Caenorhabditis elegans: one gene and its partner. The protein of the gene in region 1 purifies or fractionates together with the protein of each later gene. This does not show direct contact. Each region holds a gene or a part of one and is shown in the gene's direction. Other genes may lie near its edges. The genes, in order: dnj-9 and immt-1.

Region 1 (9,832 bases):
AAAAATAGCTAATCCGCTTTTCCACTGCTTCTCGCCCCTATTTTTGGAAGCTGAGCTGAACGTTGATCTTCTCTTGGCCCACCCAAAAGATTTTGTACGGATTCATGACATGGAAGTGTTAAAATTTCGAAAATCCTACAATTTCCTATTATACAGCAACAACTATCGGGTCTCGACACGACAATTTTTGTGAAAAAAAGGAAAAGGTGTACGCCTTTTAAGAGTACTGTAGTTTCCAACTGATGCGGAATATTCATCAACTTTTCATAGATTTTTGATAAAAAAAATTCGAGTGCAACATATGGATTTAAACAAATCGTGAGAAAATCTATGAAAATTCCGCATTGACGAAAACTGGAATTTACAGTACTCTTTAAAGGCACACACCCTTTCGTATTTAACACAACTTTGTCGTGTTAAAACCGGGTGCCATATTTTGGAGATAAAATGCAAAATTTTCAATTGAACACCTTCACTCCAAATCACATCAAAAATCGAAATGAAACGAAATGAAATGGCGTTGGAGGTGGCTAATCATGCTTAAGTAATTCGTGTATTCTGCTCTATTTTTGCTGCTCCGTCGTGCTCTCATTCCAAAGACCCCAGGCGTAATTTACTTCCGGTCCGTCGCCGTCATCTCCACCCGACATGATGTATTCCCCCCTCTCCGAAACTCCTTATCAAGTTATGGTAGATTGAATAATTAGATCAGAAGTCTATATATCTCCCAAAAGAAACGATGTGTTGTTTTGAAGAACAACTCTTTCAATGTTTTCAATACTGTTTCGAACGACGTCATTAGTTTCAGAAAACATCTGCAAACGAAGCTCCTCCTCCTTCTAGACAATCATCTCTGTTTCTCTCTTTATTCTTTTTTTTTAAATCAGATTTCTCATCTGAAACATAAATATTTTCAGGTAAATCACAAGTGTGTTCAAATGAGCAACACTTATAATCACTTCGTGTTTCGATTTCTCTTTATCGTATTACTGCTCACACAATTCATAGCCTCCAGTCCCATGATGGTAGTGAGGAGAGTACCTACACCTTATTATCAGGTCAGTTGATCAAATTCTTATGATCTAAACATTTGTTTAATTTATGACTTTTAAATTATATCAAAAATATGTTAAGTGACATAAATTATGGATTTCAAGAAGTAAAAACTCTAGAAAATTACTTTCGTGGATATATAAATTAAAGCGTAATCGCGCTCCAACGCAAAAATGAAAACGATCCGCCCTCATAATTTGGGTCTCGTTAGGTAAAAGTTTTCAGGTTTTTTTTTGTATTGTTAAAAATATTCTCCGTTGTTTCTGAATAATAATTTTTATGTCAAAATTTATGTAATAAATGCTTTTTTTACAACGGAGAACATCACAAAAAATGCCCCAAAGCGGGTGAAATCGGCAAAACTAATTGAAAACATTTAAATTTACGGTTTTGCGCCAAATACCTAACGAGACCCATGGTTCGGGGGCGGAGCGTTTTACCGTGGAGCAAGCTTGAGCATCGCTTTCAAAATGGGGTCCACATATAATTTGAGATAAATTTTAAAATATTTATTTTTCAGACAATACAAAAATTAGAACGAATGATTGATAATGAACAAGTATTGAGAAGATATCGAAAGAGCATACCCGATGGTTATTTCGACGAGTTCTCAGTTCTCACTGATGTACTGGACAGGCAACGACGGGGTCAACCGATTTCTGATTATACCGACGAGTTTAGTGCAGATCCTTTCGAGGTTAGTGTGAACTTTGAGCATCGTAGCGTCAGAATTCATCTGCACAAAATGGTTTCACCTGTTCATGTGGGAAATCGTCAAAAATCATGAATAAATGCCAGCTGTCGGGTAGACTGAACTTGTGCAATACCACGTGATAAATGGCAGAAATTCTTAACACAAAAACTAGAGAGATCACGAAGTAATCTGATTAATTAATATTTAGATTTCAGTTTCCCCTCCGATCGATCAAGCAGAAAGGGAAACAATGACACCTGTTCCAGCTGCTTCACGGTAGTCTTCAATTCTTCAGTAACATCTTCTGAACCATCAACACGTCATTCTAGCGTAATCCCTTCTGTATCTCCTCTTGATCTTATCGCCAACGCCCCCTCACCTTACATTCCACCAACATCTCGCCAACCAACCAAACAACAAAACAACAATCCTTATTTATTATTATTATTATGTTTTTTTTTTGAATTCCAACAAGAATTGAATAATTTGATATTACCTTGTTGATTGTGATCTATTCTTATTTTAAGATCTCTCCGTATATGCCACACAGTGCCCTTTACGCCTGGATAAATTGGATTTTGCATTAAATTGTGAATTGAAATGAACAAACCGCATCATGCAATAAACACATATCTTTTGTTTTTTATGTGGAAGACTGGAAAATCTATGGAAAAGTAAAAATACAGTATAAAAAAATGCAGTATAAAACTACAGTAGTTCGACCAAAACTGCCAATTTCTTGATATTGAAAAACTCGTGTTCAAACTCCCGCTGAAAATCAAGAAACGCGCAAGGGGTTATGCTGGCGCTTTTTCAGTGCGGGTTGGCGCAATTGCCGATCAATTGTTTTTTTTTGAAACTGTCATGCAAAAAAAATGTTTTCGTTTGTTTTTTAATGTCTGAAGTTCGAAATTTGATTTAATTTTTAAGAGTGCACTCAAATATTGATGTTTTTATTAATTATTTTGTGTCAAAAGTATTTTCCCTTAAATTGCATCAGTGATATCAAATTTCTAAAAATTAAAAAAATTACAGGATGTCCATGTCCTCAAGTTCTTCTATATGTGGCGATGAAGACGGAGATTTGCTACTCGATGAAGAGGAGGAAATCGATTTTTACGCAATTCTGAATGTTCCGAAAGATGTATTTAAATTGTAATTTTGAAAAAAACCGTAACCTATTATTTTCCAGGCGACAGATGATGAAATTATCAAAGCATACAGAAAGCGATGTCTCATGTTCCATCCTGATAGATTTGTCGATAATGACGAGAAGAAGGACGCTGAACGAGTTTTTGTGAAACTTCGGAGAGCTCATGAAGTCTTGCTGGATCCAAAGCAACGAGCAATATACGATGCTCTTGGAGTTCAAGGCCTTGACACACAGGGATGGGAGTTGGTTTCAAGATCTGCTAATCCAGAAAACATCCGGAAGGAATATGAATTCCTACAACGTCTGAAAGATCGAGAATTGATGCTCCAACGAGTTCATCCAACGAGTGCTTTTATGATAAAAACGACAATCGCTGGAATGTTTCAAGAAAACGATGAAGATAGATATCCTCCTCAATTATTAGGAATTTCACTATCTCAATCTGTTGATTGTGCATTTACTGGTGTTGATCGTTTCGGTCTTTCGGGGAGAGTTAAAACTGGAAATGGACGTGGAGATGGAAGTGTTTCAGCTGTTTGGAAACGAGTAGCTGGAAGTTATAATCTAGAGGTACGATGATACAATGAAGTTTATAATGATACAAATGTTTACTTCAGAACACTATTTCACTATCCGCCGAGTCTGTTTCATTGACATGTCGTGCCGCTCGAAATGTTTTCACCAGAGCTGCAGTGATCGTACAGCCGCAGTTGCAATATAATATGCTTCACGAAGCAATTATTCCATCTATTGCCATGAGTATGTTAAATAGAATTAAAAAGGTGTATTCTGAAAAAGACCGCCTATTTACTGATTCTTCAATTTTCTGCAAGATTCCATGTTCATGATTTTTGTACAAATTTGCAAGAAATAAAATGTACATAATTTTTTAAACTCTCAATTTTGCACAATAATTCTCCAAAAAATATTCGAAAAATTAATGAAATTAGCATTTTTCCGAAAAAAAAAACTTTAATAACTTGCAGTTTACTCAATGCGGTTGCACACTCGATGGCAAGGAAGTATTGTACTGAACATCTCCCCAATTGCAAATGCTCTTACAACTACAATGGTCCATACAGAGAATAATCATGCGAAGGCTGTAGGAAGTCTGACGTTATCTCCAATTAATTCGAATGTTCGTCTAGTTTACTACATTCGGAAGCCGGAAAATGATTCAATAACCGAAATGTCTGTTCAATTGACAACATATGGTGTCAATCCAGCTATAAGCATGGATCGTAGATTGTCGAGATATTCAAGAATATCATGCTCATTCCATTTCTCATTCCCATCATGTTTATTGTATACGAAATTCAAATTAAAAGCTGGACAATCAACTTTTGACTGGCAAATTGTGCTCTGTGATGACAAAGAAGCTCTTTCAAGAAGTGTACTGTATGGAGTCGCAATTCCATATTTCTCATTCCAACTTGCTAAAGTGATCTTCCGTCCATGGTGGGAAAAGTTTAAATCAATGTTTGAGGATAATTCTCGTGAACAAGAAGTTGATGTTGCTAAAAAAGAAGAAGCCGCGAATATTGTGAGTTTAATGAGGGCAACTGCTGAAAGAATTAAACGAGATGAAGAATCAAAACAAGGAGTTATCATTGAAAGTGCAAAATATGGACAATGTGATGTTAGTGGAACAAGAGCTTATCCATTGGCTGGAGAACGAACGATTGACGTCACAGTTCCACTTCAAGCTATGGTCAATGACAGTCAATTGAGAGTTTATACCGTTAAGGTAAGCAATACATTTTCTTAAAGCCTCTTCGTAAAATCGAAAAATCAAAGAACAAAAATTTTCGATTTTCTGAGAAATTGAAAAAATCAAAAAAAAAATTTAGAAAATTGACCATAAAAATTTGTTTCTCAAATCTAGTTTAAGTTGATGAAAAACAACAAGAAAAAAAAATTTGTATGAAAAGAAGGAAAATAACCAAAATTTTAAGCTTTTTTTCCAAAAATGGTTTTTTTTTTCAAAATATCGGAAAAACGAAAAACCGGCATCTTCGCTTAGTTTATCAAAAAACTAAATCTTTACTCTACAAATGTTTTATGAAAATTTCAAAAATTTCCACTACTAAAATCTAATCATTTTCAGAGTCAACTACCAGGATTCTACGATCCATGCCCCGGAGAGCCCAAAATGCTCACAGTCCGCTACATTTTCCGTGGAGAAGAGCATTCTTGCACGGTTGCCGACGAAATGCCGTTGATGCTCCCGCTTAGAGGTGAATAGATCAAAAATTGATTAAGAAGTCAGCATTTTTGTTTATTTTTACAGCTCACCGCCTGTCCAGCGAATAAACGTAAACATTGCGATGGTTTGGAGTGAGTCAGTCAGCGGTAAGTTTTTTTTTGCATGTGAACGTGATTGTGGAGCTGATCTTTGCTAACAAAATTCAAAAAATTCTCTAATGTCTAATTTATCCAAAAATTCGTCAGAACTTTGCGGTGTCTACATAATTTTTTGAAAACTATTTGGATCTCACAAGTTTCTGAACATCATCAAAATTAAGCTCAAAAAGAACTCAAAAAAACACAAAAAGTTGCGTTTTTTTTTGGCTATCAGTTTTATAGAAAAAAAAAACTTCAATTAAAAATCTTCACCGTTCCGAAATCTTTACTCGTAAAACGGCCGTCACCCTGACAGATCATTAATGTATTCCACACGATTGTAGTAGAGATGATGAGAAATAGAGAAAAAGAGAGCGCACCCACGTTCACTTTCCTTGTTATTCCTCGATTTTCGAAACGAAATAGTTACGAAACATTTGAATGTTCTAGAATTTAAAACGAAGATTTGTCACACTTTCTGCCTTGTTTTCAGCTGTTCGATTTTTGTTTTTATAACTAAATGTCAGTGCCTTGTTCACCATTTATTCCATCTAGTTTTCTGCAAACTACTCTTCACTTTCTTAAGTTTGTCCCCCCGCTCTTGAACATTTGTTTTAGAAGTATTAAAAAAACACCTGCGGCTAAAATCAATAAACTATCTGGTAACAGCTGACGCCCCCAACGCCCGTTTCACTCGACTTTAGAGACAGTTTTCGATAGAGAACGATTCAATAATTGGTTCGCGAGGCAACAATCGGGTCAACTGTAGTGACGTAATTCTCTTCACCTCCACTACTTCTCAACATTGTCCAGACCAAAAATTTTTTGATTTTTCGCGAAAAATACGGGTCTCGACACGCTTTTTTCAATCGAATTTTCATAGATTTCCGTTAAAAACATATTTACTTGAAAAACTACAAAACAATTAAAAACTTTGCAAATCTTGCAAAAACTGTAAAATTCTTTAAAATTCCACCAGAACGAAAGTTTAGTACTACAGTACTAAAATTTAAAAACAATTTCGTGTCGGGACCGAGTACCGCATTTCTGGCGCAAATTTTCGCGTATGGGTAATAATATTTCGTCTTCTCATCGTTGACAGATTTTACATTTTTTCGTCTTCTTCTTTTTTCTCTATCTTCTCTCGTTTTCCTTCCATTTCCGCCCGGAAGTTGCACTCTGATTTGCTCATTTTTCTCTATTTTCTCTAGAATGTTTCTATCTTGTGTTCGTCTCGATCCTAACGAGCAAGAATGACGAATGTTTTAGCTGTTCATAAATCGATTTGATTAAAGTTTTGGATATATTGTTGAAAAATAACTAATTCAATGATTTTTGAGTAGCGACAATGCTTTTATTAGCTCAATGATTAATATTCCAGATACAATTTGCAATATCATAAAAGTTGAAAATTTTATACTGATTATTCGTAAGAATTTCATTGAAAATTTAATGAGTCACATTTTCGTCTCCCTCTGCCAATTTCTTTGACTATTGTATCACTAAACCGGTTGTCGTCCTCTTCTTGAAGTCGCCATGGTTGTTGTATTCTACTACACAACGTCTTCTTTTTTCTTTCTGTTTCGGTCTGACGTCTCCAGGGATAAATTCTAAAACATTAATACATGTGTTTTGTTTTTTTTTTAAAGATTTTTCAATTTTCTTAGTTATTTACTGTCCCCCACAAACTATTTTCGCCTAGAATATTTCTCATTGTGTTATCAGAACATGTTCTAGAACAATACCTGAAATATTGCGAAATATTAAAAAGAAAAAAGATCTCGTGGTCAGACACGGGACAAATGTATTTCATATGGCATAATCTTCTTTTGATTTTCCCCTATTGAGATTAGAAAACGCGCGAGACTAGAGATCCATATCTCACATTCAATTGAAAACAAACGAAGCAGACGCTTCTTGTGTTTGAGATTGTTCACATTGATATTAGCTTTTTTGCAAAAAATAGTTAATTTTCAGAAATTCCAATCACAGAAAGCTCTGAATTTTCTTTCTGCTATTACCTTTTACGTCAAAAATACGGTACCCGGTCTCGACACGACAAAAAAACTGAAAATTCTAAAAAAAAAACTTTCGAATTTCCATCAATTTTTCATTTTTTTTTTGATTAAAATAATAATTTTAACAAATCGCGAGAAACATTATAGAAAATCGATTAAAATTCCACAACAACAAAAATTTGAAATTACAGTAATCTTATCAGTTTGCATATAACAAAATTGTCGTGTCGAGACCCGGTACCGTACTTTTGGCGCACAAAAGCCGCAATATTCCGCGTATGGGTAATAATATTATTGATAGTAGGATATTTTCGCTTACTATTTTTTAATTTAAAATTAAAATAGTCACTTTGTCTCTAATTTCAAGTGTCAGAGGCAAATCGACGTTTTTATTGTTGAAATCTATAGAAAACGAGAAATTTTTTTTTGCCAAAATAGGTATTTTCTGTCAAGTTATAAAACTTACATCCTACAAAAGCTAAAAACTGCTTGGCTTTTTTTTTATCAATCAAATCTGTTCCTCTCGAAATTATCCAGATAGTTGAACTACAGTAACCCAGATTATTCAATTGTGATAATTTTGATTATTTAACATTCATCGGTGGTATCCCTGGCTCTTTTGAATAAAATGTCACTGTTGCATGTTGAAATTATCATATTAATATAGAGTGCTGGGACACACCGACCACAGCAGCAAACACTGTTTCAAACGATTTTTCTCTCATCGTCTCCTCTTCCATTCACTCTCTCGTCAATTCAGTCTCTGTCTCATTCGTTGGCCAGTGTTATCATATTATCATTTTGTCCGCGCTGAATACATTTTTATCACAAAGTGAACCCTCCATTACCACCACTCACTGTGTTTTTTAGGAAAAAATCGATAAAAACAAAGATTTATTTTTTCAGAAGAAAAACATCGTCTGCAACCAAGGGAAATCATCTCCAACGCCAAATCTTGTTTTTTTTTTTTGTATTTGAACAGATTTCTTTAAATAGCCCGTTTTTTTGTTTGATTTGTTCTTTTTTTTATGTCTTTCTCATAATTTGTTTCTCCTTCTGCCTTTTTTAAAAAAATTAAATGTAATCAGAATGCTCAATTTTTCTATTTTTGTTTCTCAGTGTTTTGCTCAAATCCCAGTACAGTCGACTCTTCTTTTCTTCTTGGTTATTTATATTTGACAACGTGTTTTCTTCTTTTCTTAATATTTCATTAGGATTCGCTTTTTCATTAGATTAGGCTATATTTATAGATAAAGACCACAAAAAATAATAAGATCTTTTATAAAATTGAACTCTTCTCGGAATATTGGTTATTTTCCAATCGTTGCATTCATTTTTCATTTGTAAAATTATTCTCGAGATTTTCACTCAAACGCTCACGTTTTCAGATTTCTAGAAATGACCGGTCATCAGGATCCAGTTAAGCAGCCTCTTCCAGACAGTGTGAGTTTTTTTTTTGATTAAAAAGCCATTTGAACTTGAATTATATTTTCTCGAGTTCTATACATTAAAAATAATTCAAAATAAAATTTCAGCCTCCAACTGACGAAGGAATGTCAAGCTCATCAGCTCAGCCATCGGCTCCATCAGCTCCCGAGCAACAGCCAACATCGCCGTCTCGTCCACCTCCACCGGCTGGATTTGTCTATCCCAGCACAGACATTCAAAACTCTTCAGAAGTTCATGTCAGCGCTCCAGTTCCAGCAGGACCACCACCACCGCATGCTTCTGCTGGACCAGCTCCTACTATGAGTTCCTACGATATGCCACCACCATCCTATCAGGCTGCCATGTCATATCCAGCTGCACCGACGTACGGTGGATCGACTGATCCTAAATATCACAATGGAGGGCAACCGCCGATCTACTACCAGCCACCACAGATTAGTAAGTTTTAATAAATCTTTGAAGCTCGGAAAGCAACAAATAACTTTTAATTTCAAACAATAACAAATAAGTAATCCGTTTTTTATATTAAACATTTTCAGCACAAACGCGTCTCCCACAACCGGCCGCAATTGAGCAGATCGTTCGAGCAGTTCGTATTCAAAATCCTGCTGGAAGTAATGTCATAGTTCATGTTCAACCTGGAGCACCATGCCGTCGTTGTGTAAGCTTTGATTAAATCTTTATTCAATCAATCAATTAAAAAACTTTCAGACCGTTGGAGTGATCACTCGTCAAACTGATATGTGCTGTCTTCTATGTCTGATTATGCTCACAATCTTCACATTCCCATTTGGATTGATCTTCTTGTGCTGTGTCCCGTGTACCGTTCAAAATCGATGCACTCACTGTAATCGACTCGCTTAAGAAGAAATTTCAATTTATATTTTATCCGCTGTAGTATTATTATTTCCCCCTTCCTACCAAGTAGACATATTAACTGTTCCATACCATAATCAAAAATTGTAAAATTAGTGAACTGTACTGGTCACGAGTGTGTTTTTGTGTTACCGTTTTATGTTTAGTATTTTATGCAACGAAGTCAGTTCAGATACTGAATTCATCACTCTTCCTCCCCCTTTTCCCTCGAAGCCTTATTCCAAAACCCATTCAGATTATGCGTGT
Region 2 (8,413 bases), on another chromosome or scaffold:
TGTTGATGGTGTTATGCAGTCAACGAGAACTCGGGTCGGTGTATGAAATGCCACATGAGAGTTTCCAGCAGCATCGACATATCCTCCAAATCGGACGGCTTCCCAAAAATTGTGACATCCTGCAAATCAAATGTTTCATTCAATCTTTGATTTAAATGTGGAGTAGAGCCAGTATGGTGTCAAAATGTCCACAAATAAAAGTAACACGATTTTTAAAAAATTTTGACAAATTTTCGTCACTCATAATTTTGGAAGTTGACCAAAAATATGTATTTTCTACGACTTTCACACTTTTATTTTGTATTAATTATATCTATTGAAACATTCTAACATGCGACATTGCTCTGCATTTCTTTGAAATTTCATATTTTTCCAAAAGCTTAGCAATTTGCCAACACTGTGCTTAACTTTGTTTGGAGTGTTTTATTATTTAATCGGTCGTTTTAAATCATCATAAGTATACTTAAACAAAATCCACACTGGTGCTACTCCACCTTTGAAATTTAAAACTTAAATAGACCATAAATAATTTTTTTTGATCGACGACTTCCAAAAAGTGGCAAAAATTTAGATTTTTCCAATTTTCAAAAAAAAATCATATACAATTTTGATTTTTCTAAAGAACATTTTCACTATGATACCCCATCTTTAAAAAATTTCAAATGTTTTTGATTAAGTTTAAATTTGAAGTATCATTTCACTTTCAAGATACTGTTAATCGTGTTGATTTTAACATCGCATTCCGTTTTGTCAATATTGTATTACCAGCTTTTGATTCAGTTTTAATGTAAAAGTCATTACAAGAAAATGGTTTTTTGAAAAGTTTGCACAGTCATCTGCTCTCAGCTTCTACACAATTTATTTTTTTGCAATGCTAAACAAGACTTACCAATTGCATGACAGGGTTCTGTGTTCTTCATGTAAAGTTGAGCCACCTGCAAAGCGTCGATGTCGGTTGTGCCGTTTTTTGTGCTCATATCTTCAATGAGAATCCAGTCTGTAGACATCATTGCGAAAATTGCCTGAAATATTGGAGAATACTATTATTGAAGTCATGTGCAAAAGCTTACCAGAATAGCTGCAACGGTGTGGAAAGAGGCGGCTGGAATATTGGCATCACGAAAATCCATCCTAGTGCATAATGATCCAAGCTTGGAGAAAAACATTTTCTGGAAACGTCTAAATGGGACAAAGTAAGAGTTAAATAAGAAAGTAAAGAAAAGTTGACATAGAATTTTCTGTGACCCTGCCTCGGAATATTTATTCAATGTGCCTGCTGACGAAAAAAAAACACGAAAATGAAAAGAAGCAGCGAGCCCATCGAGCCCGAGGGAAATTGAGAAAAGAAAGAGAATCAATAGCGGCGGATGAGAGGGTGCAAACCCGAGGAAAAGGCAGCCCCACTCTCACTGCCACATCGCTTCGAGACCCTCGCTTCAAACTACGGTGAATATACTCTGCGTCTCTTAAGCATTGCTGGGCATGTTAAAATTCTTGCGCTTTAATAAGTTGTGTATGGTGACTGAGAATTTGTATATTTCAAAATTCTATTTGAATGGAAAGAGTTAATTGGAAGAAAAATGAAAAAAGAAATTGAAAATCAATTATTTTAAAAATAAAATATAAGTTCTAACACTACCAATTTCAAGTACACTGGCCTAACCAAACAAATGACCTTGGCGATTTTTTTTCAACATGAAATGCCCAGATACAAACACCATTTATCAATTGTACACTGGTTTCTAATGGTTTCTACTATTTTTTTAGTGCATTATCAATTTTTAAAAATTTCCGGTAAAGTGTACATATCAGGGGTGCGCGGCAATTTCGGCAAATCTACAAAATGAGCCAAAATGAGCAAAAAGTGATATATTTTATTAAATGTTAAAAATAAAATATAGAAAAACACTTTTTTTTTAATCTAAAAGTAATGTTTTATTTAATATGAAACAACTGTAAAAATGCTCAAAAATAGTATGCAAGTTGAAAATTGCCGGAAATTATTTTCCATAATTTGTGGGATATTTTTCCGGCTCTTATTAAATTAGAGACAATTTCTAAGCAGTTTTTTATTTTTATTTTTATGAATTATATTAAAGATGTTTTCAAATAAAGCAAACATTTTTCTGAAGTTTAAGGAAATATCTGGTACTATATGCTGCACTTTTGCTGCACTTTTTTGCGTACAAATGTTGATTTCTAAATTGAAAAGTTACACAGAACAGTAAAAATTCATGTTGCATAAAATTTTAGGACGTTTATGGCACTTCAAATATCTTTAAATTTGGCCACTTTTCCAAGTCGTAGTAATCCAAAGCTGCTATTTTAATACTATAATTTTTTCCTATCGGTTTTAAATGTATTTTAATTAACAAAATTACGGTACTTCTGTAGTGTTTACAATTCTGAAAAATTAACGTTACCCTTTTTGTCGATATTAGGCTTAGGACTAAAGTTTTTTTAAGCTTAAAAATACAACCAAATTCCGCGTTTTGATTAAATAATCACTTTTAAAAGTGTTGGAAAATTTTTATGGACCAGGTGTGCGATACGGAAAAATGGCCGAAATTGGAGATTTCACTTGAAATACGTTTTTTTTTCGAAATTTTCAACCGGCAAAAACTACTTTTTGAAAATTTTTAATGAAGTTTCATTATAAAATTCGTTTATTTGAGCTCATTTTGGGTTTATGCGTTCAAAATGTCCCAAACGTTTAATGCATCGGCAATTTCCCTTTGTTTCCCTGCCACACTCTTCCAATGCCTCCCCACACAGCCATTCTTCCCGTCGTCCCGTACGCACTTACAAAAGATACACAGACATCGATTGCTGGCGCGTTTCTCGTGCATGACGCGCAACTTAATCTTCGAACACTAAACAATATGTTTATTTCTTTTTCGATTGCACTCTCTTGATTATTTTGATTTTTTCTTGATTTATATAAAATTTCGTTGTAAAATTTATTACTTTTTAGGTAAATTATTCGCTGCTCGTCGCGGAAATGTTTCGTATTGCATCGGTGAGTTTTTTTTTCATTAAAAAAATGCAATTTTTAGTTTAAATGTATAATTTTTTCATTTCAGAAGCGATCAGTCAGCCAGACGTTGAAAAGAGCCCGTCAACAATCAAATCAAGCCGCTGCTCCACCGAAGCCACCAGTTCAACCACCAAAGTAAAACATACACCAAAATCGATAATAAAAACGCGTCGTATTTCAGAAAATCCGGAGGTGGCAAAGGATTGGCTCTTGTCGGAGCAACCGTTGTTGGAGCTGGTGGTGTTGTCGGATACGCGTATGTCGACCCTGAGTTCCGTCACAAAGTCGAATCCACTGTTCCGCCAGTGAAACAAGTTTTCGACGCAGTTTTGGGAGAATCTAGCTTGCAGTAAGCTTTATTTACTAAAAAAGTGACAGTCTTAACGATAATCCTTTTTCAGGAAGACAAAACAACAGATCGGTGACCTCAAGGATGCTGTAGTGAACGCTGTCCCAAAAAAGAAGGAAGTTCTTCCTCCATTGGAGCTCGCGCCACTGCCGCCTGTCCTTCCAAGAGAGCCCACACATGTTGACCCAGTGGATGTTCGCAAAGATGTGACCCCAATGATCCCAAAACCTTCTCCAGATGTCGTCTTTGCCAAGAACCAACGTAAGATTTTTTAAGCGTAATTTTCATAACAGTTTAAAGTTACAGAACTTGAGGAGAAGCTTAAAATCGCAATTCACTCTGCTGAAGGAAAAGTGCGTTTAGCCACTGAGGCCAAGCTGAAGACCATCAATGCGATCAATGAGCATGCCAGTATTCTCAAGCAAACCGTCGATGATGCTAAGCACGCCAACTGGGAAAACGTCACTTCTGCTCTTCAAAGAGCCGAAGCTGAGGCACGCGTCGACAGTGGCCAAGAGGTGGACGGGAGAAACTACATTGATAACCTTCGCAAGGTATCTTTTGGTACAGCCTAACACCCAAAAAAAAATTTATGTTTGAAATTTTGAACCGCAATGACACAAAATTTTTAAATTTTTTGAGAAACTTCATTGCGAAATTCTTTTAATGAGCACATTTTGGTCTTACACCTTCATAATAAAATACCCAGAGTCGTTAGACCATTGGAAACTAGGACTTGACTAAACCGGACTAAATCTGTCGTCCGGTCTGCGGAAGTTCGGCTATCTAGTGCCTGTTTTTGAACTGCTACACAAGTTATTATGTGACAGGTCCTATGATTTTTGTCTTGTTGCAATACTTCGACCCTGTTTTTTTTTCAAAATTTGTAAAAAGGACCTCTTCCAAGCTCATTTACGAAAAGGAATTAAATGCAACTGAAAATAGAGACGCTTGTTTAATATTTGATTAAATGCAAATTTTTAATAATAACTATTTATTTTTCTCAATTCGGACATTTACAGATTGTGAACGATGGAAAGCGAGATTCAACTACCGCCACAAATCCGCTACTTCTGAATGCTCAAGAGACTGCTAATAAGCTTTCTCATCAGCTTGATGAGATCAACGCATTGGTCAACAAGGTATTACATGCATTGGCACTTTTACCAAAAATTGTCAAAATTGTTTTCAGTCTCGTCAAGAATCTGCAGTCCTCAATCAGTACAAGGATTTGATTGAGAAGTCTCGTCAACAGTTTGCTCTTGAGATGAAGAGCATCTTGCCAAATGTTGATATTCACGCTAAAGTGAGTGACGAAAAAAATAGAAGGAATGGAGTCCATCCTCGGTTTTTTATAAAATAATGAATTTCTGTAATAGGCTCAAATGAGCCTATGATTTTGCTAAGGTGCATTTATGAAATTTTTGTAGTCAAAAGCAAAAATTATATTTATAGTTGATATGTACTCTCGGTAAAGTCAGAAGAATACAACATACCTTTAGTACAAATAGTTACAGTACAAATATATTTGAGATCACAATTTTTACAATTTTTTATAGATGCTGACTGATTCAGGAAGATATTTCAGCTGAGGATTTGATAGGAAAGGCTTCTGTTATTTTTCACAAATTGAAAGTCGAATATCAAACGTTTAAAATTTTTGACTAAACGAAAAGCCTTTTTGACATTGTTTCCTAAAATACAAATTTGAAAGTTCACATAAATTCATTTTCAGGACAAAAATCTCAACGAAGACGAACTGAATGCATTGATCGCTCACGCTCATCTCAAAGTTGACCAGCTTCGTTGTCAGCTTTCGGATCAGCAAGTTCGCGAGGAACTGCACATCTCAAAGGCTCTTGAAGAGCAGCGACTTGCCGATGAGCGGATCGCGTCTGAAAAATTGAGCATTGAGATGAGCCGTGTTGGCCGTCAGAATGAGTTGGAAATCGAACGAGCTGTAAGTTTGTTATCAAATTTGGGGTTAAAAGTTGTTTTTCCTCAAATATTCCACTTTTTGATTTCAGCTTGTGGAAAGCCGTTCATCATGGGAAGGTGAGCTGGAGAATCAATTGAAGCGCACCGCCTCGGCTCACTCTGAGCACTTGGAGCAAGTCATCCGGACTCAGAGACAACTCTTCGAGATTGAACAGAATCAGAAGGTAGAGGAGGCAGTTTTGCAAGAGCGCAATCTTCACAGCAAGCAAGTTGGTGCTGCGTTGAGCCGACTGGAGGGAATCGAAGAGGCTCTCGGAAGCCGAGTTGCTCTTGACAACGAAAACCGTCGCGCCAAGCAGTTCTGGATTGCGTGCCATAATTTGATTGACACTTTGAAACATGGTAACAAGGCCGGAAACAACATTGATGAGAGAAGACTTCCATTGAACGAGTCTTTGAATCTTCTCAAGGAGGTTAGCGAGTTTGTCAACGAAATCAACTTTTTTACATTTTGTTACTATTCTACATTTTCATTTTAATCTGAATTTATCGTTTTCAGGTCAATCCAGAAGACGAGTTTGTCAACGCCATCATCGACTCGTTCCCAAAACAAGCGACCACAGTTGGCACATACACTGAGCAGGATCTCAAAAACCGCTTCGAGCAACTGTACAAGATTGGTCGCAAGACTGCTTCTATCGATGAGAACGGAGGAACCTTAGGAGCCTATTTCTGGTCGTACGTCAAATCCCTGTTCCTCGTGGATATGCCACAACAGTATGGAAATTTAGATGCTATTGATGTGAACAACACTGATAACTATGAGGTGAGGATAGATTTGAGTACAGAATACATTAGAGTGGGTCATAATTATGCGGATACGTAAACAACTCTGCTCTGCAACCCCTAGGTGATTGAACATGATACATAAAATTGTATAGCTCACATATTCCATAAAAATCTGGTCATGATTCCATTTAAAAAATTTAAAAATATTTCCATCCACGTTGCTCCTGACTCTTAGAAATTTTGAGGTTGGATTTTTGGCAGCAGATTAGCAGATCACTTTTGGCGTTTTCCACTGTTTTTTTTTTAGAATCCGGCAGAAATTCCGTACTTTTATAAGAATACTCCAGATTGTGAGATACGCTCGTATGACTTCGTGGTTGATTAGTAGTCATGTTAAATATCATTAAAAATATGTCAGCTTTAAGTAACGTAATGAACCCACGTTTAAAAACTGTCAGGTTTGTAAAAATCGGGCTTTTGTCTTCATAACTCGGGTCTCTATAAATATGACCCCGTTGTGAAAAATAAATTTGATTCGAATGGCAACATTCTTATTCCGATCAAAAAAATCAAAATTCTTATCTCATAATTTTTATTAAAATGCTTGTTCTTTATTCCGAGAGCTTCCCAGTCCCGTACGATGTCCGTACAAAAAATATCAAGTTTTTTTAAAATTAGAATTCAAACGTTTTGTAAGACTAGTGAAACATTTTTGTTCAGATCCTTTCCCGCGCCAAGCAGTACGTACACAATGGTGATCTCGATAAGGCGATTCGCGTTGTTCAACTTTTGAAGGGTCAGCCAGCTCATCTTGCTCGTGACTGGATCGTCGACACCCGCTCCTACCTCGAGTCTCGCCTTCTCGCCCAGCTTCTTGTGGCTCACGCCGCCGTCTCCTCGATTCGCTCAACTTATTAGAACAATTGATTGTCTTGCGTCACCGTTTTTTAAAATTGTGTTCTACTGGTTTTCACTACACTCATTTTATTTTTCTCTATTTCTCACCCTATTTAAAACGATCCAAATGTTTTAAAAACGTTTTGCTGCTAGTAGTATTGTGTGTGTGTCTTTTAGAAACCAATTTCTTGTTGGTAGTTTATAGTAGATGGGTGTGTGCACATTTTCTCCCCGTTTTTTTTTCCAAACTCTCGCCGTCAATTTTTTCCAAGTTTGTGTAGTTTTTCGAACCGTCGATGTATTGAATAAATGTGAAAATTTTACAATTTTTTACCAGAAATAAGTATGATTTGTAGAAGTTTGAGACAAACAAATAAAGAATCTCTAGAAGTGCAGTTGCGGCAGTTGGGGAAATTGTTAAAAGTCACACTTATGGTGTCAAAAGGAAATTCATTTGTTTTTATACAATTTTTAGACATCGGGTGGTTAACAAATTGATCCAAAAGACCGAATTTACTAATGAGATATTTTAAATGATATCCAAAAAAATTTTTGAGGTTTAAAAAAAATAAAATTTCAAATTTGAACAATTTATCCGTCTATGTAGTTGCGATTTTACAAAAAAAATTACATTTTTGTCGTAATTTCAAACTGCCGAAACAATTTTTTTTCTAGTCAAAGTTTTGGCGAATTGCTATACTTTTCAAAACAATATGTAACCAACATTTTCTGTTTTGATGGACTTCCAAAATTATAGGTTGTTATACTGTCCAATACATTTATTCAGAAGTTATAAAACTTTATACAAAGTTGAGGCAATAGGTGTCACACACCTTCTGAAATGCACATAATTGCAATGCTAGAAAGCATGAGAAGCATTATACAACGGGAGAGGAAAGTCACGTAACCTTACTTGTGTACCGACAAATTGAAAATGAGAATAAATCAGATGAGAAAAAAATAGTTAATAAATTATGAAATGGTACATAATGTGTAGTGTGCTAGACGTCACTTGCTTCGTGACTGTCATTGCGTCGAGATCTGAAAATATCATACGTACAATTTTGAAACAGTGTCACGTGCAAAGAATCAAAATCATTTCACTTTAGAAGTAAAACTCATGCAAAACGTTGAATGTTTGGAAGCAAATCGCAAACCAACACTGAGAAAAAATCGCATAAAATCGCAAACTCCATGCTTTTAAAAAGAAGAAAAAGGTAACACTCGAATAGAAGAAAGAAAAGTTAAAAACGTGATGTAGTATATAACAGTTGAGATATATGGATAAGTAGGGTTATACTCACAGAAGCGGTCGATAGCTGGAAGATTGGGTTCGGTAGCGACTGTAAACGCGCAGAGTCAAAGAAATTAATAACCTGGTGTTGTGTTTGGCCGTTTGACGC

The links.
Region 2: the proteins of dnj-9 (region 1) and immt-1 fractionate together in Caenorhabditis elegans (co-fractionation; one large-scale study listed by BioGRID). This does not show direct contact.

What each region holds. Positions count from the first base shown.
Region 1 is NC_003280.10:4,849,274-4,859,105, forward strand, and holds dnj-9 (J domain-containing protein), read left to right. Parts: upstream 1-2,782; 5' UTR 2,783-2,783; coding exon 2,784-2,891; intron 2,892-2,939; coding exon 2,940-3,470; intron 3,471-3,517; coding exon 3,518-3,659; intron 3,660-3,886; coding exon 3,887-4,647; intron 4,648-5,007; coding exon 5,008-5,137; intron 5,138-5,190; coding exon 5,191-5,213; 3' UTR 5,214-5,252; intron 5,253-8,167; 3' UTR 8,168-8,526; downstream 8,527-9,832. Other genes in the region: nssp-16 (Neuropeptide-Like Protein), read left to right, coding at 939-1,058, 1,574-1,750, 1,956-2,027; F11G11.5 (Membrane protein BRI3), read left to right, coding at 8,660-8,704, 8,797-9,148, 9,250-9,371, 9,422-9,574.
Region 2 is NC_003284.9:2,681,746-2,690,158, reverse strand, and holds immt-1 (MICOS complex subunit MIC60-1), read left to right. Parts: upstream 1-2,974; 5' UTR 2,975-3,001; coding exon 3,002-3,019; exon of another isoform or gene 3,020-3,083; coding exon 3,084-3,172; intron 3,173-3,218; coding exon 3,219-3,386; intron 3,387-3,438; coding exon 3,439-3,647; intron 3,648-3,692; coding exon 3,693-3,940; intron 3,941-4,408; coding exon 4,409-4,528; intron 4,529-4,578; coding exon 4,579-4,692; intron 4,693-5,121; coding exon 5,122-5,346; intron 5,347-5,413; coding exon 5,414-5,797; intron 5,798-5,883; coding exon 5,884-6,150; intron 6,151-6,833; coding exon 6,834-7,031; 3' UTR 7,032-7,405; downstream 7,406-8,413. Other genes in the region: T14G11.1 (Membrane-associated protein), read right to left, coding at 1-119, 890-1,022, 1,071-1,166; ser-7 (G-protein coupled receptors family 1 profile domain-containing protein), read right to left, coding at 8,012-8,051, 8,315-8,353.